Ovis aries: one gene and its partners. The main gene of each other region encodes a partner of the protein of the gene in region 2 in a complex. Links are inferred from orthologs where the notes say so. Each region holds a gene or a part of one and is shown on either strand. Other genes may lie near its edges.

Region 1 (3,500 bases), on a different chromosome or scaffold from region 2:
ACTTAACGCTCTACATCCTTCTGTACTAGCTGTTTGGGTCAGGGAGGCCCTGCCCCTCTAGTCACTGCAGGCATTGGCCTGCGCGCTCCCCCGGCAGGATTTAGAAAAGAATCGGTGGGCTGAGCTCACAGTAACTGGATGCATAATTTAAGGGCAAATACAAACAAGTCAAGTCAAAGGACTGGAGTTAACTGTCCAGTATCACTTGCTCCTTTCCAAGGCCTTAATGTGCACTTAAGCTGGGGTCTGGCCATGGTTGCAGCTGTCTCCACACCCGTATTCAGAGGGGCGGTAACTGAGCCCAGCACGTGCCGTTCCCAGTGGCGTCTTTGGCTCTGTCACGACAGTCTACATCCTGCTCCACTGCACGCCCAGTCCTGGGGTGCTCACCATTTTCTGGTGTTTCTGTGAAACTATCAGGTTAGTTTGAAATGCGTTTCACCCAGGAATCAATCCAGGATGGTCATTTTGATTCATGAGAATGTAGAGAAGGTGACATGTACAGGAAAACACTGCTTGTTCATATTCTTGAACGCCTTTTCAGACAACAGTAATGGCAGTTCACTTTCACAAATTGCACACTGGGTGAAATCATACAATTACTTGCAGGGAACAGTAAGCAAGCAGTTCGGTCATAGGGACATGTTTCTTTGTTTTGTGCTAAGTGAAAAAGCTGTAGGAAACGCATAGCTCTGATTAAAACCACAGAGATAATTTCCTGCTCTGTAACACTCCAGATTTAGGATGCTGGCAAAAGGCAGTGCTGGCAAAGTATTTAATGCACGTGAAAATGCTATTCTATTCTGGCTTCCAGAAGTAGCCCTAGAAAATTCTATGCACCAATGCATTGGCTAAGGGTGATAATTTCAGTTGGACTATAAATTATTCTAAATGTCACTTAAGTACTTCAGAATTAGCGCTCGCTCCTTTCTAGAAGCCGTCTAAGGCAGCTGATGCGTAAAGCACCTCGACTAGACTTTCAACTAGTTCAGCGGTTCCATCTGTGCTCCTGGGGCCCCGTGGTCTCCCTCACTCACTGCACAGCCCACCGGGAACCTCTTGTGGTTGGTCAGCCTAGGGAAAGGGCAGCCCAGGCCAGGGAGCGGGACGAGGGACCCAGACCAGCAGGGGCTGTTCGTGTAGCCATCTCAGTTCTAAGAGGGGGTGGGTGGCCGCGGGGGCCGCAGTGGCCCCGCCTCGCGGAAGGGAAGTGTGTGGCGTGCACGCCGCCCGTTCCTCGGGGACGGCCCCCTCCGCCACCTCAGAGAACAGGCGTTGCTCGCCAAGTGATCTACTGCTCTGCTGATCAGAGCTTTCATTCGCACTACGTTAGCGTTCATCTCAACCATCTCAGCCTTCGGGTAATTTGCTTATTGTGTTTCCCTAGTTTTCACTGAACACACAGTGCAAACAAAGGCAAAGACTGAAGCAGTCGTTTCAAAAACAAGAGCTCACACTAAAAACACACATGAGCATCAGACAGCAAAACGCGGGTTTGCGCCTGTCTTTATTCTGGGGAGGATGAGTCCTCCTCGTCCTCTTCCTCGTCTTCATCGTTGAATGAACAGGGCGTTTCGCCTCGGGACTCAGAGCAGTGAGAGGCCGCACTGCTGGACTGGTGACTGTTTGGGGCAAGGAGCTGCCCCGTTGCTAAGGCCACTTCAGCATCCAGGCACAACCCTTGGTTTACACTAGCAAACAATCGGAAACACACAGGCTGGTTAATGTGTGCAGCCTTTAAGCTTTGGAAAACATAAAGGATGAGAGCCCAGGAAAGGGAGGGCCACAGGCGAGCTCTGCCGGGATCCGCAGGAGACCCAGCTGATAGAGGCACATGGGGCTCCCCTCCAGTGAGGAGCAGGCTTGGAGGCTAACCTTTTTAACCCTGAGAAAGTACATACCTTGATTGGGACAAGGTGGCACCGGTGGTCAGGTCTAAATTTGAAACGGATTGGGTAGAGTTCAAAAGCAGTCCCTGATTTAACCAAGATGGTCCTGTGGAGATGTCTACAGGAAAAAACAAAAACAGATGGAGGCCTGGTAAGTCCCGTGGCTGCTTTTGCTATGGCCTGCAGAGAGCACAGACGAAGGAGGCAAGCAGCCCATTCTAAGCTACAGTCTCCTGCCCTGGGGAGAACCCAGGTTTCTTCAGCTTGCAAAAAGGAAATTTCTAGAACATAAGAGTGGAGCAAGGGGGAGGATTCAGGGAGACAGACTACAGCCGGAAAGAATTCAAATCAGACCAATCCCAGAGTCTTCATTCTTTTTTTCTTGCAGAAGCCCTTGAGAGGGCATCCCACATGAACATATTGATGGTTGCACTACTGTTGGACACCCGCTGGATGCACCACAAAAGCCTCTGGCTGGGGTGTTAACAACCAGAGCAGGAGTGGATAAGCAGACAGTTAAGTCAGAACACCCTATGTCAGAGGGACAGACATTCTTGCTCAACCCCCTATACCCCCTGCCATGGTTTCAAGTACCCCCTGGGAACTCAGTGCTATTACTGACCAAGATTTATTCTTTTTCTTGGTATCCTTTGCTTTAAAACTTGAACTAAACCTTACTTTAAAAGGCTTTGCACAGTCACATTTTTCGTGAGCGCACTGCTGTTTCAGTCTGCATCAAATACTGTGCAGATACATCCTTGCGGTCCTGTTTTCTATGCAATTTACCATATTTCTCCCATCACAACCCTGCCTAATTCTTATTGTAACTTTATTATTTATTTATGGCTGTGCCGGGTCTTCGCTGCTGCACAGGCTTTTTTCTAGTTGTGGCAAGGGGGCTGCTCTGTAATTGCTGTGCACAGGCTTCTCACTGCTGTGGCTTCCCCTGCCGCGGAGCACAGGCTCTAGGGCACACGGGCTTTGGCAGCTGTGGTTCCGGGCTCTGGAGCACAGGCTCGGTAGCTGTGGCACATGGGCTTACGCTCCCTCGCTTGTGGGATTTTTCCGCATCAGGGATGGAACCCGTGTTTCCTGCATTGGCAGGCAGATTCTTTACCAGTGGGCCGCCAGGGAGGCCCTGTAACTTATTTAACCCTTGTCTCCTTATCTAGACTGTTAGAGAAGGCAGTGACTGGGACAAATAAAATCTAAATGTTAATGAATTAGCATCGTGTATTTCAAAGGTGAGTTTACAACACAGGTGGGCAGAAATATCAGAAATGAATTTCTTGAAATGAATTTGACTTATGTTGTAAGATGAGACCAAGCATAGGTCATCTTAACATGGCCTATGAACCTTTTCTTCACAGGCTAACTAAAGCAGCTATGAGGGGGGAAAAAAATTCTAAGAACAGCAGGTTTTAAATGGATACAATAAGAACAAGTTGGTATATGAAGTTAAAGCCAGAATCCTGTGCTAAGTATTATTAATTAGTATGTATGGAAACCTTCTGTCAGAACACAGCTCTTGACAGGATATGTTTTCCTTTCACAATGGCTCTGAAAGGCCGACCCACACAACAGTTCTCACAACCTTCAAGAGCCATCCTG
Region 2 (4,013 bases):
GGAGAAATATCAATAACCTCACATATGCAGATGACACCACCCTTATGGCAGAAAGTGAAGAGGAACTAAAAAGCCTCTTGATCAAAGTCAAAGAGGAGAGTGAAAAAGTTAACTTAAAGCTCAACATTCAGAAAATGAAGATCATGGCATCTGGTCCCAATCACTTCATGGGAGATAGATGGGGAAACAGTGGAAACAGTGGCAGACTTTATTTTGGGGGCTCCAAAATCACTGCAGATGGTGACTGCAGCCATGAAGTTAAAAGATGCTTACTCCTTGGAAGGAAAGTTATGACCAACCTACAGCATATTGAAAAGCAGAGACATTACTTTGCCAACAAAGGTCCGTCTAGTCAAGGCTATGGTTTTTCCTATGGTCATGTATGGATGTGAGAATTGGACTGTGAAGAAAGCTGAGTGCCGAAGAATTGATGCTTTTGAACTGTGGCGTTGGAGAAGACTCTTGAGAGTCCCTTGGACTGCAAGGAGATCCAACCAGTCCATTCTAAAGGAGATCAGTCCTGGGTGTTCATTGGAAGGAATGATGCTAAAGCTGAAACTCCAGTACTTTGGCCACCTCATGCAAAGAGTTGACTCATCGGAAAAAGACTGGTGCTGGGTGGGATTGGGGGGCAGGAGGGGAAGGGGACAACAGAGGATGAGATGGCTGGATGGCATCACTGACTCGATGGACGTGAGTCTGAGTGAACTCCGGGAGTTGGTGACGGACAGGGAAGCCTGGCGTGCTGCGATTCATGGGGTCGCAAAGAGTCGGACACGACTGAGCGACTGAACTGAACTGAACCATCTATTATTTGTCACTTGTTTATATAACCCCGGGCTTCCTATGACTTAACCACTGTGAGTTAAACATAAAAAGTGTATAATTATGCTTTTTCTATTTAATTTACAAGGTTACCCTGAGGGTAAAATAAGAGCTTATTTGGAGGCACTTATGCCCATCACCAAAAATAGTCCTTCTCTTTTGTCACAGGAACCACTAGGAAATAAACAATAACATGAGTGAACTCCGGAGTTGGTGATGGACAGGGAGGCCTGGCATGCTGCGATTGATGGGGTCGCAAAGAGTCGGACACAACTGAGTGACTGAACAGAACTGAACTGACCTGACCTATTCAGTCATATCACCTAAGCATGTGAAAGAGCTTTGTAAATTCTAAAGCAGTCTCCATGAATGCTTTACGCTCCAGAAATTCCACATTACCTTACTTAACCTTCAGAACAGCTGTGTAAAGTAGGTACACATACCTCAAATTGACATATCACAAAACTGAGTTTGGAGTGGTTAAGTAAATTGCCCGAAGTCACCAAGGCCTGTCAGGTTCTAAAGCCAGTACATATCTAGCTACCCTCCCCCACTCTAGATGTAACTAAATTAAAATTATATTAATGCAAGAATAAGAAATAATAGGAATAAATTTAGTGAGTGCCACACAGGCAAAAACACCGTATTACAGTTAAAACACATCTGTTAGCCTTCCCATTCTGAGCCTATTTGCCCTACTCTTTCCACAAACTATTAAACAACTTCAGAAAATCATATGGCTTGCAGTTTAAATATCACTCCCATGGGGCAGTTAGACAGCGGATAAACAATACACACTTCCGTGTCACTTCCCATTGGCCCGTAAAGGGGAGGTGCCTACAGAGTTGAACCTCACTGGCTAGAATGGCCATTTTTCTTAATTGCAAGCCCCGTCCGAAGAAAGGGACAAAACATGTCCAGATGACAGCGACTCTTAAGAATCCTGTGCAGTGTCTGGGGTGACCAATAAGTCCTCAAGATCGCCGCAGTCCTGACTTCCTAGAGACAGATAAGAGTCTATATCCAGGTAGGCAGAAAGCCCGTTTCATCCGCTCACGGGAAGATTCTTCTTTGTTTACAAATACACAAACACAGCCCGAAACGTAATGCATTTACTCAAATGGCAATGCCTGGACCAAAGGCAATTAGGTACAGCTTGCAAAGAACTTGAGGAGAAGCCTGGAAACGCAGACGCTAAAATCGGGTTAATTTCAGTGCTAGCGCAGGCAAGCCCCACACCCCCATCCCTTTTGAGTACGGTCCTGACAACTGCACCTGTTCAGTCTGCCAACCAGATGGCTGTATTTTTGTAATCAGACCCCAGCACGACCTCAGCCTCGAGGTGCTAATTCAGGGCAAAGGCTGTTCCCCCTTCGGAACCGGAGAGGGAAGAGCACCGAGACAGGGTTCACTTTTAGGACAGCTAAGGGCTTTTCAAAAGCCAGGTTTCCAGGACGAAAGTGGGCAGAAAGGACTCCCTTCCCGCTCCAGGCTGGGGACCGGGAGAGCCGGGGCTGACCTGGGGAGCTCCCCCGCGGGGCTCCCGAGCCGGAGAGAGAAGGGCCCCCATCCCCCGCGGCGGGGCGGGACCGCTAGGCCCCGAAAACCGCTGGTCTCCTTTCCCCGGCGCACCTCCAGCGTGTAGCTCTCGCTCATGCTCCGGTAGCTCTCCCAGGCCTCGGCCCGCGCCGCCTCGTCCATGTTCAGGCGGCTGCACAGCTCGTCAAACCGCTGCTGGGTCTGAGGGGCCGGCGACCGGGCCGGCTGCGCGGCGTCCTCCGCCTCGCCATCGTCCTCCTCCTCCTCATCTGAGGCCGCCGCCGCCGGAGGGGGAGGCGGGGGCGGCGGCGACTGGTCGCCTCCCGACGGCATAGCGTACACCTGTGCGGCAGGTCCTCAGGTGAGCCGAGGGCCCGGGCCCACAGCCATTCAAACCGCGAAGCGCCCGCCGGTCGGCCGCCCTCTCGGCGACTGCGCCGCCGCCAACGGCGCTGGACCTCAAGCCGGCACCCGTAGTTCGGAGCACGGCCTGGTGGGAGATGTAGTCCAGGCCGGAGACCCACGGGGATCAAAAATCATATTTAAAAAAAGTCATCTCGCGTCCTCTCCCTTGGCCTGAGGTAAAACCGGCTTCTCTGCATTTCAAGTACCTCTTCATCGGGAGACCCATTCAGCAGGATTGTACTGAAGAGAAAGTATCTAAGAAACGTTGACACGTGAAGGTTTAGTGTTCAAAGTGTCCTCAGAAATAATACTTACCACCTGCGTGTCCTAATCTGAAAAACCAAGGTAATAGAAAGGGCCTGTCTGCCTAAATTCAAATTTTGGCATCACTCTTACAAATTCTAGTTCTTTCCTATATTTATTTTTTGTCCGAGCTGCAGTGGTTTGTGATATCTTATTTCCCCGGTCAGGGATTCAACCAGCGCCCCTTTCAATGGAAGCAGAGTCCTAACCAGTTGACCGCCAGGGAATTCTCCTTTTCTGTGTTTTAATTTTATGTGAGACTTTCAAAAAATTGATTGATTTTTTTAAAGGAGTAATTAATTTTCCCCCCATAGGGTGAATTTACATTTACCCCTAAGTGACATATTTGTTCTGTTCTCAAAACTTCATTTTTCTTTGCTTTCTCTTCAAATCTATATGAATCACATTATTTCCAGTCCGCTTTGGTTTATACAGGAGTATAGTATTAATAAGTAGGAGTATTATTTTGCAACAAAAGTCCATCTAGTCAAAGCTATTTCCAGTAGTCATGTATGGATTTGAGATTTGGACCGTAAAGAAAGCTGAGCACCGAAGAACTGACGCTTTTGAACTGTGGTGTTGGAGAAGACTCTTGAGAGTCTGTTGGACTGCAAGGAGATCAAACCAGTCAATCCTAAAAGAAATCAACCCTGAATTTTCATTGGAAGGACTGATGTTGAAGATGAAGTTCCCATACTTTGGCTATCTGATGAGAAGGGATGACTCATTGGAAAAGATCCTGATACTGGGAAAGATTGAAGGCAGGAGAAGAAGGGGACAACAGAGGATGAGATGGTTGGATGGCATCACTGACTCAATGGACATGAGTTTGAGTAAGCTCCAGGAGTTGGTGGTGGACAGGGAGGCCTGGCATGCTGCAGTCCATGGGGTCACAAAGAGTCAGACATGACTGAGCGAATGAACTGAACTGATAGTATAAA
Region 3 (3,500 bases), on a different chromosome or scaffold from region 2:
TTTCAACCCTTAAATATAGAAGCCCCCACCATTTGAAAATGAGACAAGTAAACAAAAAAAAAAATCCTTACCAGTTTTTCTGCTTCTGTGTTCATTTCCCTTAATTTCTTGATATGCTCCTTTTTAATCATGAGAATTTTTGATAGTCTGGTCTACAGACAATGAAAAAGAGATGTTTTGGAATAAAGAGAGGCACTTAAATATACCAGGTAGACATCAAACTTGTAAGTTTCCACTAAGATATTTTAGCAGATGTGTTTCAATATAAATATAGCACAGACACTATTTTAGAAATCTGACTGGGTGAGAGGAAGATATTTTAAAATCCACTGTAAGCAGGTACATCAAAACGAGTAAGAAGTCAACCTGAACAAGTTTTCACTGGAACAACGTGTGGACCAATCAGAATAATAACTATAATTAATTAAAGCACAAATAGGTTAAAATCCATGCATTCAGACCGATACTCAACAAAATTAACCACTGTTGGAGAACACTAGTAACCAAACTCATCAACTGGAAAACAAAGCCAACAAATCAAGCATTTATCCTGCCTTTCCTATACAAACTATGCCATTAGGTAACCAAATAGTAGATTTGGGGGTTTTTCCTCACAAAATGATTTCAGCTAATACACAAAGAACAAGAATGGCACCATTTTGCAATCCTAACGAATGAATGGATCTAGGCATTGATAATTTGTAGCAGCTAACAATATATTTAAAAAGAGATAAAAAATAGGGGTATCCTATCAGGGCTTTCCAGGTGGAACTAGTGGTAAAGAAACCGCCTGCCAATGCAGGAGACACAAGAGATGTGCGTTTGATTTCCGCTTTGGGAAGATCCCCTGGAGTAGGAAATGACAACCCACTCCAGTATTCCTGCCTGGAAAATTCCATGGACAGAGGAGCCCGGTGGACTATAGCCCACAGTCGCAAAGAGTTGCACATGGCTGAGCACTACTACTACACATCCTATCAGAATACAAAAGTATGCATAAAAGTAGTCATATAAAAACAACTATACCAATCAAATGAAAAACCCAAATCAAATCAAACCTTTATATTCAATGAGCAATTTACATGAAGTACAAAGACAGAAGAGTATACTGGATGTTATTACAAACTCAGTCAGCAAAATCCAGACAGTGGGAGACTCCATGAACAAATAATACAGTTTATTCAACAAAGAGGTTAACGGGAGAAAAGAAGAGCCAATATTTAAGAGCCAACTAGACAACTGGAATGCTGACTGGATATGTGTTGATATTAAGACATGTTTTTATTAACTTTTTAGATGTAATAATAATATTACAGTTATGTCTTTTTTTTTTAAAAAAAGGGCCCTTACCACTTAAAGATACATAAACAAAATATTTACAGATAAATGATATGATGTTTAATGTCTCAAAAGAGAGAAAAAGGGTAGGAGTATATATGAAATAGAAATGGCCAGGAGTTTTTGATAACTGCTATAGCTAGAAAATGGGTTCAGAGAGATACATTATACAACTGCCTGCTTTCATATGTACTAAATTTTTGATAATTAAAAAAATAAAAATAAAAAAACTGACCTAAGTTGATACAGGTAGAGGGAGGGCCCGGTAAGATATGTCATATACTTGCTCACACTGACCCTTATTAGTTTAGGTCCAGAGCTCTGGACTGGTCTCCTGTCTTTAGTTGTTGGGTTTTATGGAAAACTGTGTGATTCTACTGAGTAAGGAACAGTAAAAAATGGATGAAGGCAACATCTTTCTCCCATTTTTAGTTTCTTTCAGTTTTGTGTTTCTTGTTAGTTTTTGATAGAAAATCATGCTGTTTCCTTCTCATTCTTTTCAAAACTGAGTCCTCTCTTAGAGAGGGTTGGTCAGTCTTTTTAGATTCCTCAAAATCCCTAACCCCAAGAAAAAAAATTCATTGCGAACTATGAATTATGAAACTAGCAAAAAATGATGTTTATTTTGTCATAAGAAAAAATAGTAACAAAGACAAAAACATATCTTACAGCTCGACAAAAGCAAACCTGAGTTTCGTAAAACTTTAGATATTACAAAAGACAAGTACATAAACGGGCTTTTATTTTTACCTGCTAGAAAGCTTAAAATAATGAAAGCAGTGTTTCAACTAGGCATTACACATAGATTTTGAAGTTAAAATTAAGCACTGCAATCAAAACATCTAAGCAGCAATAAAAACATCAATCCTTTAGAAGTAGTGTATTAGTCTTTGGCTTCTGACTCCCTCTGCTGGTAGACCTCTTGCTCCCCACTCCTCTGCCTCTTCACCCTCCTTCCCCATCTCCCTCTACCCCTTGCCCAAATATGACATATCAGCTTTGTTTTTACTTCCAGTATTTAATAAAAGAAAGAATGTCTTTAAAAAACAAGTGTCCTAGTTGTGAAATGATAAGCCTTGGTTCTTTTCATATTTAAAATTTTTCATATAAAAAATCTACCTTTGAAAGTTAAAAGGTGTAATTCTGTAGTCCAAGGATAATTAACAACATATAACTAAGGAATAAGAAATGCCATTCAAATGACAAGACTTTTCCTCAAAATAACATTAATTGTAAAAGGTAACACTGAATATTTTAATGGCTTATGTTATAAACATTTTTATTTATAAAGACTTTATCTATCCCAAGCCAAACAGCTTTATTTTCAAAAAAGAAAAAGGAGAGGAAAAGAAACAAATCAAACATCATTAGACTATGAGTCAAACTAAATAATTTATTCAACCTAATTTTCAAAACAAACAGCTCATTATATTAAGAGTTAGGCTATTCAGGAAAACTGTTGTATATAATAATTGCTATTTGTTTCGCTTTAGCTTCAGATTTCTTTGTGTCTAATCATTAAGTACTTAGCAAATGAATAGCTATTTGTAGTCTCAGAAAAAAACTAAAGTTCCTCCTAACCAGAGAGCTGGCCAACACACCGTAAGTTTTGAGGTGACTGATAATGGCAGGATTACTGAGGTTACTAAATAAAAACCTTTATATTTATACAATTTATTAACAGCTAACCATTCAATTTCATAGAGTGTATGCTAGAACACTTATGCTAGAGTCCTTAACATAGCAAAATAATAAGAACCAAACCCAAGAAAAGCCCAACAAAAACAGACCTCTAAGTCTTTTCTGGCTGTTATAACTTAATTTCAAGCTTTGTTGGAAATAACAGAGTTCTTAAAACACAATGATTTTAAAAAGTATAAAAATATTTGGTCCTAGGAAAATTTTCAACTTTAATAACACAAAAGATATTGAATTCTTTTTTAACAAATGAGCAAAATATTTAGAGCAATTCTTACCACTTGGATAAGGAACTCTACTGGAAAACCACCTAACGTTTCAGTGTCAGAGCCAGAAATTTTACTTCTCCAAGGTGACTGTCCTAATAAGGGATCATTATCCTATGGGAATAAAAGGGAACCGTTTAACCACTGACCTTTCAAAAGGAAGCATTTTAATTTTTAAAAACTTTATTTTATTGAAGT
Region 4 (3,500 bases), on a different chromosome or scaffold from region 2:
ATGGATATGAGAGTTGGACCATAAAGTTGAACATCAAAAAATTGATGCTTTGAACTGTGTGGTGTTGGAGAAGACTCTTGAGAGTCCCTTGGACTGTAAGGAGATCCAACCAGTCCATCCTAAAGGAAATCAACCCTGAATATTCACTGGAAGGACTGAAGCTGAAATTCCAATACTTTGCCCACCTGATGCAAAGAGCCAACTCACTAGAAAAGACCCTGATGCTGGGAAAGACTGAAGGTGAGAAGAGAAAGGAACGAAAGAGGATGAGATGGTTGGATGGCATCACTGACACGATGGACATGAGTTTGAGTAGGCTCCAGGAGTTGGTGATGGACAGGGAAGCCTGGTGTGCTGCAGTCCATGAGGTCTTAAAGAGTCGGACACAACTGAGCAACTGAACTGACTGTCATAATACACATATTATGTTGTACATCTGAAACTAATATATAAGTGAAAGTGAAGTCACTGAGTCATGTCCCACTCTTTGCGACCCCATGGACTGTAGCCTGCTAGGCTCCTCCAACTGCAGGATTTTCCAGGCAAGAATACTGGAGTGGGTTGCCATTTCCTTCTCCAGGAACTAATATATAATTATATCCCAATTTTTATTTATCTATTGTTTTAGGCCACCCCCCATGGCATATAGGATCTTAGCTACCCAACCAGGGATCAAACCAGTGCCCCACGCATTGGGAATGTGGAGTCTCAACCACTAGATAGCCAGGGAAGTCCCATATATCTCAATTTTTAAAAAGCACTACCTTGATAGAATCTTAAAACATAACTCAAGAATGCTATTTTAAATGCATTAAATCCAAACCACAAGTATAATTAAAAAAACAATTTTACTAAAAATATTCCTTCAGCATTTGCCAAGTTCAAAAAATTGATCCCACACTTATCTAAATACAAGGTATTAAAGTGACCTGTAAATTAAATTGTTTCATACAAAATTAATATGAAATAACAGTAAAATGTTGAGACTTTAAGATTTTCTACTCTTGCATTTTTTTTAATGCTTCAGCAGAAAGCCAAATAAATCATTTTGGAAGCAGGAAAGATTTATAGTTACTGTCTATTCATTACTTTCTTTCTCAAACTGAAAGGATACAAATCACACATTTTAAAACTTACCACTGGCCAATTTTTTTTTTTTTTTGAGTGGCAGTAAAAATGCTCTAATTTTCCAACTACATTAATAAGATGATGCCATGAAGAGCATGAACTAAAGGGTAATTCTCAGAAGACGACAGTAACTTTCCCATTCTTCTCATACTTTCATAACAAAGAATTACCTTGGTTTTGAATCCTCTAGCTCTCTGGGAACACGATGATAAGATATCTGTCTTATGTGGGAGCCCATTTTAGGTTAAGAGGGAAAGTTAAAGAATAACTTCTTATACCTCAAGTTTTCAGATAAAATAAGAATACAATTGAATTGTTTTAAAAATGCTAACTCAATTTTCAGTAAGAAACTATGCCCTAAATGTCGCTAACCTAAGCTCTAAAATGGTGACTAAGCTGACAGTATTTTTTATTCTACAAACCAAACTTTCAGCCAGCAAAAGCTATATTATATTATACTTGGTTTGACTCAATTCTGAAAAAACTACATCTCAAAATACTCAATTTTCAATTCTAGTACAAGCAGTACTCAGAGAACAAATCCAGGTGATTTAAACATGTATTTATGTTACCCAAAAACAATGTATTAGTAAGAAAAAAAGCAAGTCCACCTACACAGTGAAAATAAAGAATATGAACACGTTACCCTCTGATCTTCTTCTTTAGTCCAGGGACCCTTTATCAATTCTGGATTTAAAACTTTCTGCCACCGATGTTGGCATTGAAAATCAGAACGATTCTGAAAGAATTTAGATGATTTTGTTAATGAACAACTGTCTTCCAAACTTTCACAACCTTAAGAAGAAAGTTTCCAGGACTAATACATTCAATAGCATTCTCTAAAAATGAAATATTTATTTTATATGCCTGTATCCCAATTCATTTTTAATTAAAGTTGTCAGCATTGCTTAGAGTATAAATAAAAATTATATATTTGAAATTAAAATTATTTATCTCTATACCCTGCCTGATAACACAAGCAAAAAAGCAAAATAACACAGATACTAACATAAAGAAATGTACTGATGAATAAAAGGGAGTAAACAGACAACTAAACAATACAGACGTACAAACTCAAGCAGCATAGCAGCCTGGACTCATAGAGTATAGCAGTACCTAACTCTACACAATTCAAAAAACACCCAAAAGGCATTACTAGACTACTGCATGGTATTTAAAGGATGTTTATAAATGATAACTCCAAGTTATCAAGAAAAAATAAGTATATCCAGATTGATATACATTATATATCAGTTAAATATTTAAGCACTGAAGTTCAAAAGGAAAATGAAATTTACCAGGGTAAAGCCTTATGTAGAAACATGTCAAACTCGAAAAATGATTAATAAGTGTAGCCTTATTTTTAGTCAATTCATGACTTAGTAACTCCTGTGTATTACAAGGATAATACTACTAACACAACTTTTCCTTTAGTGATTTGGTTTCTGAAGATATTAGTTCATATACAGGATTACAGATAATTTTGAATGACATAAATAGAAATACTGTATTTAACCACAGCTCTCTCCTGATGCCTAGCGGACTTGTTTTTATTCATACTGAGTGTTTTCATGTATAGCTTCGGTACATCAATGCTGATTCACTTTAAGGTTATCATTTTCTCAAAATAATCAGGTTGTTCTTGTACATCCTTGTAGCATTTCTCTGTTGACTACATTTGCTGTTATACCACTGAAGTTAAACTGATAAAGCTAATGTAAGCAGCTTTTCTAATTTAGATTCTATTTATTGAACATGTGCTAAATGTAAGGCACTGTGCCAAACATCCTATATGTTACTTCTAATTCTCACAGCAACATAGCTTCTTCTGGTTTCATTAGTTACCAAACTATTTCAATAGATTTAACTTCTCTCAAAATGTTTTAACATTGATTAGCAAATATTTATAAAGCCCTATCCAAACTTCGTATAATTTTTGCTTTAAGTCAGCCATCTTTTTTAGGTCTGTCCTCTCTTTATGTCAGTCATCTTTTTAGATCCCCAGATAAATTAATTACTAAAAAAGAAAACCCAGACTTTCTAAGTTTCCAACTGTAGGAAGAGCAGAACAAAACAGTTATTTTTAGGATGGGAACCTAAATCTAAAATAACGTAGACACATTTCTGAAAAACAGCAACTGTAACCCCATGGCCTAAATCATTTGCGTTAGCAGTATGAGATAGTGTTTCACTTACTTGAAGATGACGAGCAATCAGAGTCCAATCATCAGTTCCATGTTGTTCAACCAACTTCTTTAACTTGTCATCCTATTAAGACAGGTTTATGGAAATGAAAAAGCTTTCCCTCACCCTATTCCCCTATTCCTGAATATACTGTCCAATTCTTTCACGTCATATCTGGTGGCCATTTT
Region 5 (4,184 bases), about 13 Mb from region 2:
AACTCTCAGTATTTCATCTCGTCACACAGAAACATTGCTTCTTGGGTCCCCGAAGTCCCTCATTACCACATACCCCTTGTGTCTCACCTGTAATCTCAGCTGCTGGACCAGCCACCCCCTGGGCCTCGGTGCTGCTGGGGACAGGGTTGGGGGTGGTTGCCTGGGGACTGCTCGGGCGTGAGGCATCCTGGGGCTGGGCCAGGGCAGGCTTGGGCAGAAGCGGAGGGGTAGAGACAGCAGGCGGGCTCTGGAGCAGGTCTTCGGGTGGGGGCACAGGAACCGCCACAGGTGGTGAGCTCCATGCCTCCTTGTTCACCAGAAGCACCTCAATGGGGCCACTTACACTCTTCAGGTGAATCTGGTACTTCTTCTGCCCATTGAGGCCCTGAATGTGGGGGTGGAGGACAGGTGGAATTGGAAGCAGATTTGGCTCCTGCCTGACCCTGGGCCAGGGCCAGTATCCTCTCCCACCCTGGGCTGCCCGTTCCCCTAGATAACTTCAAACCCTAGGCCTCCCCTTACCTGCCCCACCCGGGACTTATCGGGCTCCACAGCCAGCACCCGCCCTCAATCCACCCCACCCGGCTGGGCTGAGCACCCACCTCTGGGATGGGCACCTCCAGGCTGGTGCCCGACGGGGCCCGGATGGCAAGGAGAGTGTCTCCTAGGATGACAAAGACGATGGATCAAGGCCCATGGGCTCAATTTGAACTGGGAATGGGGTGCCTATCCCTCAGAACAAGGAAGGACGTCATAGTCCCGGAGGGGGCGGACAGTAGGCTTCACTCACTCCCTATTGAGGCTGGGGGAGAAAACTAAAGCTTTTTCTCTCCTAAGAACCCAAAGGTCAGTAACCAGAAAATCTGGGTTCAGATATGTGGAGCAAGAGATTAGTGGCCATGGGCACCTCATTCAATTGATGGGGCTGCTCCCTAGGCAAAGATGTTCTGGCCAAGGCCAACAGCTCTTCCCCAGAACCAGCCTGGGAGATGCAAGATGGACGAGGAAGAGTTCCTGTACCTACAGTGCAACTAAACTACAGGTTGGAAGTGGGTACCACTGCCCCCTGCACACAAGCATATACAAACAGGCACACACACTTTCTCCCCTCGTATGCTTCTGTCACACCTGAGAAGCCAAACCTAGGGGGCGATGCAGGTGGTGGCTGACCCAGAGACCCAGTCCAGGCTTCCTGTACCCTCTCAGCATGGTGAGCCTCCATAGGGTCCCAGAGATCCTCAAATCTAGGCCTTACCCTGTCTGGTTCTTCTTTGAGCAGGCCCCAGGAACCCTCTTAAGAGACGGAAATCTCTCAAGCACCGAGTCCACTGCTCAGGGCTGTGGCTCAGCCCAGTCCCACCCCCATTTCCCCCTACCCAGGCTCTGCTCACCAGCAAAGCATCTGCAGATGTCCTCATGAGTCACGTAGGCCAAGGTGTGGGGGTTAAGGAGAATGGCTGATGCCCTGCCTATGGTGACAGATAACTGACACAGCGAAGACCCAGCTTTGCAGCAGAGGTCTGACATACATGCTCACAAAGAGAAGCCCTGAGGCCTGGGGTCTACATGGGGGAGGGATCACAGGCCAAGACTGTGGGTGGAGAGGCTCCGAGGAGGGAACCGGAGGCTGAAACCTGGCCAGGAGCTGGAGGACCATCCTCCCAAGTGGGACAGAGACTAGGGGACACAGAGCACACCCAGCTGGACTAGAGGGCCCATCGCCCACTCCCCGGGAGCCAGGACCGCCGATAAGAGGATATCAGCTGTTCTGCACGTCCTCTGTGACGTTCCGGATGCTCTGCTGCACCCACACCTTGTGCTGGTCTAGTTCTTGCTCCCGCTGCTGCAGCTCCTCGATCTCTGCCTTGAGCTCAATCAGCTTGTCCGCAATCTCCCGGGTATTGCAGCCAGGACCCACACCCCTGAATCCAGGAAGGAGAGCTAAGAGGGACTGCCTGGCACTCTGGGTCCTACAGCCCCTGTTCTCTCTGCCACCCTCCACCCCACACTCCTGACACTTCTGGGTAGGAGATACCATTGCCGACCCCGGTGCCCCCACTCACTTCCACTGGATGCTATTCTTGGATTTTTTCTCAATCAACCCGATACCTTCCAGCACGTTAGTAATGTCATATATCCGCCGCTTCTGGCGCACAGCTAGGGTGTCAGCTGCCTGGCAAGGAGAAGAGAATGGAAAATGCTCAGTCCCACTCTCACGGGGGACTCGGTCTGGAGTAGTCTGGAAAGGGGGTGGCCTGAATTCTAGCCCTCCTCCCCAGGCACTACAGCAGCTCAGGACTGTGGGGCGGGAAGAGGCCAGACGAAGCCTGAGCTGATGTTCCGATGCTCTTTTCCCCACACCTGCTGGAAAGGGCCACGAGGACTACCACCCGCAGCCTCAAGCTTGCCACAAAGCTGACATCCGATGAACAGCCTTAGCCGAATGAATGAAACAGCTCCCGGCCTCCCGCTTGTGAGAAGCACATGTATGGCGGCCTGCTCTGAGGGCTCAGCTGGGCCGCCCCGGGGGTTCCCTCTACCGGCTCAGGCCTGGTCCACCATCCCCCTGTCGTCCCTTAGCCCGGGCCGCACCAGCTTGAGGTCAAGCACACCGTCCTTGGCTTCCTGCAGAAGCGACACGAACTTGGTAGTGAGAAGTCCCAAGCTCTTCTCGTGCCGGCTTGGGGTGCCTGGGGGCGGCGGCGCCTGTGGCCCGGCCTCCGCCATCGCGCCCGCCCGCCGCCTCCCCTCAGCCAGGCCAGGCCAGGCCGGCGCCGCCGCCACTTCCGCTTCCGTTCCTGGCTGCTCGGCCGCCGGCGCCAGCCTCGCTACTTCCGCTTCCGCTTCGTTCCCTTCCAGGGAGTCCGTCACAATTCCTCTCAGCAGACATGGCCGAAAAACTTGAGGGACCATCATCAAATGTCCAACCGCCGAAGAGGACGAAAATAACCCCAGGATCCCGGAAGACAGATGTGGTCGAGGAAGCATGTGGAGGAAGTCGTTGGGTAGCCTCAGGAGCAGTAAGGAGGAATCACTGGAACCTTCCTGGCTGGCAAACCTGACCCAACTCGACTAACTGTGCCCCAACCCTCATCTCAGGAGAGGAGACCCTGCTGCCTGATGAACCCAATGTGTTTTCCCAAACCTGCTCCTAAAAGACTGCCCCACTCTCTTGGGATCACCTACCCTCCTTATTCCTGTCCTTCAGTTCCTGCCAAACAGCAAGCACTAACTACATCTAGCTTATTCACCTGTCTGCATCCCCACTTTCTTCCCCTGATCCCAGCCTCGCCTTTCTCTTGTCTCCACACTACAGTGCTCAGAGGCCATGGGATTAAAACCACTTTTCAACCGATGCAAACATATTTACCCATGTGTAAATATATGTAAAGCCCTTAGAGCAGTTTCTGGCATGTGGAAGGATTATGTGTTTGCTAGTATCATTTTGTTATTTTTAACACTATCATTTATTATAGTTTATTTTAGGTCAAGTTCTTTGGAAAACAGTCTTTGAGAAAGAGATGTGCCAGCAGGAAGTTTACTGAGAAGCCACACTTGTAAGGAAATAAGACAGGCCAAACAGGGCAGAGAGGAGAATTAAACTGTGAGGAAGTTAAAATGGAGGGCTCTGTCCTTCTAGGAGCACTGAAACTGGGGTACCCCTTCCAAGGCCTACCTGGCCCTTATACCCTAACACTGACCAAGAGACTCAGATCTGAGACCTCATTAGCCTACATTTCGGGCAGCTAGGGGAATGAGTGTCTTTGTCCTGAAGGGTGGATTTGGGTGGTAGCCAGTGTCCACAGCATTATTACTACCTAGTAGTCAGTTCCACTGGAGGAGGGCATGGCAACTCACTCCAGTATTCTTGCCTAGAAAACCCCATGGAGAGAGGAGCCTGATGGGCTCCAGTCCATAGAGTGGCACAGAGACACGACTGAAGCAGCTAAGCAGCAGCACCAGTCCCTTTCATGGCTCCTTTTATCTCCAAGACAAACAAGCTTTCATAGCTCTTCCACCCCTCTCTGCCATCTCCCGCCACACACCCTCCTCACAATAGCCTATGGTCTCTTGCTCCTCTGCAGAGGCATACCTGCCTCTAAGGGCCTGTCAACACAGTTTTCACACTGTGATGTTGTCTGCATCCATATCAGCACACCTTCCTCTCCACCCAGGTTGGGGCC
Region 6 (4,059 bases), on a different chromosome or scaffold from region 2:
TTGCATACCCCTTCTCAATCTTTGCCTTCACACAGGCCTAATTTATGGAGCAAAAAATCAGAGTACAAGCAACTTTGAATTCTGAATGTTTTTATTTTCTAATAAGTAATTTTCTAAGTCACTCCAACATCTTCCTATTTACGTGGTATAATGTTTACAAAAATGAAGATCACGCTATCCACGCCCAGGGATGTCTGGGACTCACTGGAGCACCCTCCCAACTCAGGTGGACCTGTCAGGGACATTCCTCAGGCATGCATTTTTACGCAGGAAAAGTCTATGAGTCTCCAAGCACAGGTCAGGTATCAAAAGAAGGAAGAGGACTTCCTTCTGCAGCCACCCTCCTTTCCCCTTCTCAGCATCTCCCTAGTCACTCCCACACTCCCCAGAGCGCCTTGGAAATCCTCCTGTCTCATAACATAGGCCCTTAGGTTGCAAATGCCTATCTCCTTGACAACCGGGACAGAGGTCACCTTCACCTCCGTATCTGCCTTTGGAGGATGGCACCAAAATGCCTTAAGAAATGTTTGCTCTGGAAATGGCCAGATACAGGAATGAATGACTGATAAACATGCAAAGCTGCTGCCTCTTAGTTGATCAGAAATGCTAACATAAGTCAACTTTTAGAATGAGGTAAGGAAGGGACAGATGCTGTCTAAACCCACCAACACCTGTCATGAGAGCTGGAATTCAACCTTGTCTCGTCATTCCCAACCCAATTCATGGAGTACTCCACCATTTCAAAATAGGAGATTCTACAAGATACTAATAACAGAAAGAAGTGGCTTTAACATCAACTGACCCCGGCCTCTGTTCTAACAGAAACTATCTTTGGTTCTCTGACACCCAGCTTCTAACAGAAGCTCAGCAAATGTTCCTTCAAGGACAAAGTGATTTCTGTGTGAACACCCTCTGGAGCTTGAATACTCTATTTAATGCGGACAGTACTGCGGCTGGGACAATTCCGTGAGGTTTAATATACTTATACCGCCATCACAGTAATGATTGTCTGCTTCACAGGCATTCTCATTATCCCCATTTAATAGATGTGAAAACTGAGCTCCCAGGTGGCACTAGCAGTAAAGAACCCGCCTGCCAATGCAGGAAACATAAAAGACACAGGTTCAATCCTTGGGTCAGGCAGATCCTCTGGAGGGCACGGCAACCCTCTCCAGTATTCCTGCCTGGAAAATCTCATGGACAAAGGGATCTGGCAGGCTACAGCCCATAAGGTTGCAAAGAGTCAGACATAACTGAAGCGACTTAGCACGCACACACGAAGCTCGCAGGGGTTAACCTGCACCTGTAGGTCCTCATCTGATAATCCCAGCAGGAAAAGCAGAGGCTAAGTCAGTAGTGCAACCACGTGGAGGTCTCACACACCCTTTCTATGCCCTTCCATGTGCTGGGCTCTGCTCCAGTTGGGGTGAGTCAGAAGCTGAGCAGGAAGTAGGACACTGTGCAGAAGAGAGTTACAGCAAGTGGCCAAGAATCAAACTGAATGCTGTGGGGTTCCAGGATGCAGAACCCATCCCTCACCTGGGAGCTGGGATTCTTCCACTGAGCCCCAGGGCATAGATGGTAGAAGACCTGGGGGTTTTCAGGGGCTTTGGGTTTGTTGCCTGGAGTGAACACTTCCTGAACCAGAAATTCAGGGCCTGACCAGCGCCTGCCCAGAAAATAACTCCTGGGAATTGGAGCTGCTCTGAGAAACCATGGCCTGAGGAAGACACACCCTGTGCCTGATGACTTCCCAGGGATCAGATGTTTCCTTGCTGAGAAGCCTGTGAAGGCAAACATCACCTGAAGCGAGATATTTCAGGCTATTTGGTATGGATACAGGAATCCTGGGAGGGAACAGGTCAGAACCCCCTGTGGTTCTGTAGTGTGACTCCCAGACTGGTTGAAAAGCCTAGAACTCAGACACTCAAGGAACAGGTGTAAGACAGGAACATGGAACCCACAGACCTGATTTCTGGCTTGTCTCTGCCATTCAAACTCTGGGGGATAAGTAAAATGGAGACTGCAGTTCTTGCCTCCGCCCCAGGGGTTGCTGGCACAGATCAGTCTCTCTTCCCCTTGCATTCAACCCCAGCTGCCCCAACCCCCGCGCGTAGGACAGGAAGAAGGTCTCCGGAGCGAGACCGACCTAAGGCCCCGAGCCCAGGTGGTGAGGGACCAAAAAGTCCCTCCCGGCCCCAGCAACCCTCCTAGGTCAGGGGAGAGAGCCGGGAGTGCTCCGTGCTTCCCCGAATGTTAAGAAATGCCCACCGGCAAAACCAGACCCCCCAAAAGGCTCCAAAGACAAGCGTCTTCCAGGCTTTCGCCTCCCACTCACCGCGACTTCGAAAATAATTTTTCTTCTCCAGGGGTCGCCTCCCTCCCCGGTAAAGGCCCTTCCAGCTGACACCACCGTCCCACCCCCACCCCGCAATTAGGCGGGAGACAAAATGACATCATACAAGGCTTGGCCCGGGTCCCAGGAGACCCGCTCGCCCCAGCTCCGAGGCCCAGCAGGCCCGGGGGTGCCGAGCGAGGAGCCCCCGAGAGCTCCCCGGCTTCGCGCGCACCCTCGACGCCTCCCCGCGTCAGGCGACGCGGGACACCTGAGTTTTCCGCCGACCCCAACCGCGCCGGGCCGGGATCGGAAAAGCCCCGGCGAGGGTGGCGGTGCGGGGAGGGGGTCGGGGCTGAGGAGGATGGCGCCTGGGGAGGGGGGAAGGGCCCTCCGCCGGCCGGCTCCGCTCACCCGCGCGTCCGCCGCGACATCCCCCCGGCCCGGGCCGCGCCGCGCTCGCCCGCCCGCCGGCCGAGCCCGGAGCGGGAGCCGGGCCGGGGTCAGGGTGCGAGCTGCTCCGGCCGCTCCGGGCCCCGGGGCCGCGTGGCGAGGCGTCAGCGTGACCACAGGTCCGGCCGCTGCTCACGGGGACTGCGGCCGCCGCCGGCGCTCACAGAAACACTTTTCTATCTCCCGCCAAGCGCGCCGGCGCCGCCCGGGCCAGGCGCGCGGGCGGGCTGGTGCGCGGGGCGGGGCCAGCGAGCGACGCGGGGCGGGGCCAGCGGGAGGGCCGTGCTCGGGGCGGGGCCAGCGAGCCGCGCGGGGCGGGGCCTGAAGGCCCGAGGGCACAGCACCGAAGCTCCCAGGGCAGGGAGCTCGTGGGCGCGGCTTTGACCCCGCAACCTGGTGACTGAGGCAAGGCCCGGCCGAGAGCCTTGGGGCAGGCCTGGAGGAGGGAAGACTGAGAAAAGGGAATGAGCCGCAAGGGTGGGAGAGTGAGGCCGAGGGAAACTACCTGTGCTAAGAGCCCAGCGCTAGTCCAAGCAGCTCCTATGTCCCTACACCCTCACCCCCACCCCAAAGCGGCCTCCTCACCTACACCTAGGCCAGGGCTGAGACTTGGAAACCACTCCCTTCTTCCTTTCCAGCCTTGAACTCAAGTGGCTCCAGCTCCTCAGCTGGACTCCTGGCAGCCCAAAGCAAGCCTCCTAAAAAGCAAACCTGATGTTGCCTCTCCAGAACTTAAAGTCTCTGTCCTCTCCCTCAGGGTAAAATATTCTGCAATCAGGTTTATAGCAGTCTGCCAGACCACCACCCCGCCCCTAGCGGGAGGAAACTCTTCAGCCTCCTGGCCGTTGCTGGGGCGGATACACTTCCCACTTCTCCCACCGGAACTAGTTCCTATTGCTCCTTTAAGAGCCCACAGCCCACAGTCTACTTGCTGACTTATGCATGTCCTGATTTGAACTATGGGCTTGCTAAAGTTCAAAGTGAGTGAAGTCACTCAGTCGTGTCCGACTCTTTGCGACCCCATGGACTGTAGCCTACCAGGCTCCTCTGTCCCTGGGATTCTCCAAGCAGGAATACTGGAGTGGGTTGCCATTTCCTTCTCCAGGAGATCTTCCTAACCCAGGGATCGAACCTGGGTCTCCCGTATTGCAGGCAGACGCTTTACCATCTGAGACACCAGGGAAGTCAAGTTCAAGGGGCCCCTCAATTCACAGCAGTATCCCCAAGGCCCAGAATTCATTGGTTGCATTAAATTCGTTTCAGTTCAGTTC
Region 7 (4,133 bases), on a different chromosome or scaffold from region 2:
CACTGCTATATGACAGACAGGAAAGTTAAGAGTAAATCCTAAGTGTGTTCATCAAAAGGAGAAAAATTTTTGCCTTTATTCTTCTTTCCTTTTTACTGTACTGCTGTGAGAAGAGGGACGTTAGCTGAACCAATCTATTTACTCTAAGGAAATTTCCATTGGCATTCTAATTGGTAAAGAACTAAACTCTAAAAAACTGCCTTAACTAGATATGTGAAACACAAAATCCCAATTTTCAAACTTCCAAGGAATGCTACTTATGGAAAGTTCAAGCATAACAAAAATAAACTTATTGAGGGTACGATTCAATAACCAACAAGCATGACCTTATGATACCACAGTCTAGGGTATAATTTGACTCTACTGTGTTATTCTCATACATTAAGTAACAAATGACTTTAGATTTCAATTTTCTTCTTTTCAAGGAGGTCCCAGCAAATTAAGCATTGAAAAGAGAAAGAGTGGAAAGATCTAAACTTTTTTTCATAGCAAGATAATTTTAATTAAATCTTATAGACAGAAACAGGTGGAACTCTAAAAATAGAAGTGAGAGAGCTAGGCAGTAGTATATTTTAGGATAAGACATTTATTTAGATGCAAAATTTAAGTTCACAGTGCTCAACCTGTTTTTGTCAGATTAAAAAGATTAGAGGGAAAAGGATAAAGCTATGCAAAAGATGAGCATGAAAACTTTTAAAGTCAAGTGTGCAAATAGAGTGAGAGTGGACATGGTTAAAAGGCAAAAGGAAAAAAAAAAAATTTCCAATATTCTTCCTGGCCAAAGGAAGGAAAAGAAATTGAGAGAAGACAGGGAAAATCAAATATAAGGAACAAAAATATAAAGACAACTTAGTTATAAACTAAAAATTTTCATAGCCATTACTTCTATCACTTGGTTGATTTTTTTCCAACTGTGGTAAAATATACATAAAACATACCATCTTAGCCAGTATTAAGTGTACAGTTCAGGGGCATTAAGTACATTTACACCGCTTTGCAACCATCATCACCATCCATTGCTACAACTTTTTCATGTTCCCTATCTGAAAGTCTATACCCATTAAATAAATAACAACTCCACATTCCCTTGGCTAACTTTTTAAATGCTCTTTATTTTTTTCCTGGCCAAAAAAAAGAAAAAGACATTTCATTTTTAACAAGAGAGCACTCAGGCAGGATCAAGAATCTCTTTTGACTTTCAATACCCATAATTTCTTATACAGTATATGGTTGCTTGTCGTTGTTTAGTAGCTAAATCATGTCCAACTCTTTGCGACCCCATGGATGGTAGCCTGCCAGGCTCCTCTGTCCATGGGATCTCCCAGGCAAGAATACTGGAGCGTGTTGCCATCTCCTTCTCCAGGGGATCTTCCTGACTCAGGGACCCATGTCTCCTGCGTTGGCAGGCAGATTCTTTACTGCTGAGCCACCAGGGGAGCCCCATACAGTATGTACCCATGCTCAAAAACCTTAAAATATTATTTAAGCATATATCTAATCATTCTTTCAATAAACATGAATTGAAGACCTACTGCTTGCCAGTAGGCGAGGCACTGTGTTAAGCCCTGAGACCCAACTACCAATGAAACAGACTTGGAATTTTCAATCTGGACTGAAAGGGGCAAACTTGACATAATAAACTGTTCTGTCTATGAAGGTACTGAGAAAGTGAGTGGTGAAGAGGGGCAAGCTCAGCTCCTGTGCTCTGTGAAAGCCTCTCTGGGAGGTGACATTTAAATGAGACCTGAAACTGCCAAAGTGTTTACATGTTTGATTAATCTTCTTCTCTCCCAATGCACCTAGTAAAACGCCTTTCATAAAGCAGGATCTCAATATAGCTTTTCTGGCCACAAGTTCCTCATTCCTGAAATGAACTTTCAAGATTCCTTCCAAACACAAAAGGAGAGAAAACTACATATCAGTGAAATGGACGTGGAGATGGAATAGTCGAAGCAAAAACAGTTCAGAAATGACTGCAAAACTTTAATCCTAAAACAGAACGGAGAGCAAAAGCCTGGGAGTATACCAAAACCACTCAATTGCTATCTGAGATGAGTTGCATCTTCGACAACATATAAGCAGAAATCGTTCAATCACTCAGCCTTAAGAAACAATTCATAAAGCAGAAACAAGAGAGGTAGAGACGTGTACATGACTACGCTAAAAAGCTCAGTTCTATTTTCCTCGGGACTCTCACAGTTAGGGACCCGAGAGGGTCTCCTGCTTCTGTAGCTGCCAGGGCAACGGTCCCAATCTAAGGAGACGGGAGAGAATTACTTTTCTCTTGTGGTTCAATCCCAGGATGAGGTCAGCCACTAACCCTAGCTAGCGCTTAAGAGAATCAAAAAATCGTTCCAGATGCTCAAAGAGAAAAGAACTGACCTTTTTCAGTGAGGCGCCCGGAGGAGAAAGCTACACTAAGGCGCCTCCTTTCCTCATCAGTATCTCTTCCTCGGCCATCAGTCTCACCCAAATGAGGCTAAAGGAGGACAAGGGCGACCCTCGTCCTTTTGCCCAGAAAAGGTCCCTAGCGGGCGCCCTCCTCCATCTGCCTGGTACACTGAGAAGAAACCAGGCACCTCTGGAGCCGCTGTGAAGAACCGGCGAGCTTAAGAAGCAGCCACATCGCTTAGAAAAGAAGTGGAAGGGAAAGGATAGGAGCCCATGAAAGAAATGTAAATTCGAGTGGTAGATGGAAACGGAAGTTCCCAGGAGAGCGCAGAAGGATGTAGCAGGCGAAAGGTCTCTAAGCCGGTTCTTACCGTCCGTGGGAGACGCCATCTTCCAACCCATGTCACGTGACGTGGCCAACTGTCGGCGGGAAAGCTTGGATCCGTAAGCCACGCCCCCAAAGAGAAACCCTGCCCTCAAACCCGGGAGCCGGGTTCGTCTCCCCGCCCCTATAGGGACAATCTTTACATAGGCCCGCCCCCCGGTGCTAGCCACATCTCCCCTCGCGCAGTGGATGAGGCGGAGCTACTGCAAAAATTCTTGCATGAACTTATTTACTTCCCTCAGTGAGTGGGCGGGGCCGCGGTTGTGCCTTTGGCCAATCGCAGTTCCGGGTTCGGGGGCGTCTTCCTCCTGTGCTCGATATAGAACATCGCGAGTCGCTCCGTGCCTTCCCTACCCCTCCGCCAACAGAATTTGTTGAGGTAGCGCAGGGCGAGAACGCTATCACTTCTGACCAATCATATTCCCCCAGGGCTGGGACTGAGGGGCGGAGTCAGGCGTTAGGGCGAGTAATTGGCTAGGGGAGATTGTCCTTTCCGCCAGTGAGGAGGTGCGGCAGGATGGAGGGGCGAGGCCTGGCCGCAGTAGAGCTTCTGGACAGTCTCAGACCGTAGAGGTGCGGGGGCTGAGAAGAGGCAACCCAGAGCCATGGCGGTGGTGGCGGCGGCGGCGGCGGCGGCATTGCGGGCCCGAATCCTCCAGGCGAGTGAGGGTAGCGCCAAGGGGTTGCGAAGCTCGAAATTCGTCCTTTCCATCCGCTCTCTGAGCCATCCCCTTCATGGCTGACCCTTCTCTGTGCCCATCGGACCTGTGCGGCCCTGTCCCACACCTCACTCAGTACCCGCCTTCGTTGGATTCAGCCCTAGCCCTTTTATTCTTGAGCCTCCCCCCTTTTATGGCTCTGGCCCACTCTCCTCTTCGAGGCTTGCCCGATCCCTGCCGACACTCTCTTGCCCCACCTCTGTCGGTCTGCCCAACGTCTTCCCTTTCACCTCTGCACCAGCCACCTCTCTGCCCTAGAAACTCCCCTTCTGGTCACCTCTCTTAGCATTGGGCCGAGAACCTCCAAATTGTCCCCCTCCCCCACCCTTCTTCACGGTTTGCAATCCGAGGTAAAGGCCGGGGGGCGAGGGGCAGGAAGCACACGAGGGGCGAGGGTCAGTGAATGAACTTTGAATCCCCTTCTCGGAATGTTCACTCCGTTTTCCCAAAAGCAGTCATTTGCTGAGCTGTTTTCCCCAGCTACGGCTCTTTGCATGTTCCACAGGCTGTGGACTGTTGTGCCTTTGCTTGCCAAGACTTTGTTTAACTTTCTGGCAGAGTTACAGTGTTTTGTTGGCGTTGAATAAGGACACATAGTTAATGATCCCAGTTTGTTCCAGGCACGTGCAAAGAATTAA

What was found.
Region 1: RBL2 (region 2) and TFDP2 share a complex: the UniProt entries of both Homo sapiens proteins name them as parts of the DREAM complex. The link is inferred for Ovis aries from reciprocal best matches to the Homo sapiens genes RBL2 and TFDP2.
Region 3: RBL2 (region 2) and LIN9 share a complex: the UniProt entries of both Homo sapiens proteins name them as parts of the DREAM complex. The link is inferred for Ovis aries from reciprocal best matches to the Homo sapiens genes RBL2 and LIN9.
Region 4: RBL2 (region 2) and MYBL1 share a complex: the UniProt entries of both Homo sapiens proteins name them as parts of the DREAM complex. The link is inferred for Ovis aries from reciprocal best matches to the Homo sapiens genes RBL2 and MYBL1.
Region 5: RBL2 (region 2) and E2F4 share a complex: the UniProt entries of both Homo sapiens proteins name them as parts of the DREAM complex. The link is inferred for Ovis aries from reciprocal best matches to the Homo sapiens genes RBL2 and E2F4.
Region 6: RBL2 (region 2) and MYBL2 share a complex: the UniProt entries of both Homo sapiens proteins name them as parts of the DREAM complex. The link is inferred for Ovis aries from reciprocal best matches to the Homo sapiens genes RBL2 and MYBL2.
Region 7: RBL2 (region 2) and LIN52 share a complex: the UniProt entries of both Homo sapiens proteins name them as parts of the DREAM complex. The link is inferred for Ovis aries from reciprocal best matches to the Homo sapiens genes RBL2 and LIN52.

The regions. Positions count from the first base shown.
Region 1 is NC_056054.1:247,614,098-247,617,597, reverse strand, and holds part of TFDP2 (transcription factor Dp-2), read right to left. Parts: intron 2,008-3,500; coding exon 1,902-2,007; intron 1,692-1,901; coding exon 1,508-1,691; 3' UTR 1-1,507. UniProt on the Homo sapiens protein: Can stimulate E2F-dependent transcription.
Region 2 is NC_056067.1:21,291,454-21,295,466, reverse strand, and holds the start of RBL2 (retinoblastoma-like protein 2), read right to left. Parts: upstream 2,801-4,013; 5' UTR 2,698-2,800; coding exon 2,458-2,697; intron 1-2,457. UniProt on the Homo sapiens protein: Key regulator of entry into cell division. Directly involved in heterochromatin formation by maintaining overall chromatin structure and, in particular, that of constitutive heterochromatin by stabilizing histone methylation.
Region 3 is NC_056065.1:28,558,550-28,562,049, forward strand, and holds part of LIN9 (protein lin-9 homolog), read right to left. Parts: intron 3,417-3,500; coding exon 3,315-3,416; intron 153-3,314; coding exon 72-152; intron 1-71. UniProt on the Homo sapiens protein: Acts as a tumor suppressor. Inhibits DNA synthesis. Its ability to inhibit oncogenic transformation is mediated through its association with RB1. Plays a role in the expression of genes required for the G1/S transition.
Region 4 is NC_056062.1:43,807,168-43,810,667, forward strand, and holds part of MYBL1 (myb-related protein A), read right to left. Parts: intron 3,397-3,500; coding exon 3,325-3,396; intron 1,868-3,324; coding exon 1,775-1,867; intron 1-1,774. UniProt on the Homo sapiens protein: Transcription factor that specifically recognizes the sequence 5'-YAAC[GT]G-3'.
Region 5 is NC_056067.1:34,395,858-34,400,041, reverse strand, and holds the start of E2F4 (transcription factor E2F4), read right to left. Parts: upstream 2,801-4,184; 5' UTR 2,728-2,800; coding exon 2,593-2,727; intron 2,174-2,592; coding exon 2,064-2,173; intron 1,923-2,063; coding exon 1,761-1,922; intron 1,436-1,760; coding exon 1,392-1,435; intron 665-1,391; coding exon 603-664; intron 386-602; coding exon 88-385; intron 1-87. UniProt on the Homo sapiens protein: Transcription activator that binds DNA cooperatively with DP proteins through the E2 recognition site, 5'-TTTC[CG]CGC-3' found in the promoter region of a number of genes whose products are involved in cell cycle regulation or in DNA replication.
Region 6 is NC_056066.1:72,197,189-72,201,247, reverse strand, and holds the start of MYBL2 (myb-related protein B), read right to left. Parts: upstream 2,801-4,059; 5' UTR 2,770-2,800; coding exon of another isoform or gene 2,750-2,769; 5' UTR 2,461-2,749; coding exon 2,339-2,460; intron 1-2,338. UniProt on the Homo sapiens protein: Transcription factor involved in the regulation of cell survival, proliferation, and differentiation. Transactivates the expression of the CLU gene.
Region 7 is NC_056060.1:83,523,543-83,527,675, reverse strand, and holds the start of LIN52 (protein lin-52 homolog), read right to left. Parts: upstream 2,801-4,133; 5' UTR 2,794-2,800; coding exon 2,763-2,793; intron 1-2,762. Other genes in the region: ALDH6A1 (methylmalonate-semialdehyde dehydrogenase [acylating], mitochondrial), read left to right, coding at 3,382-3,435.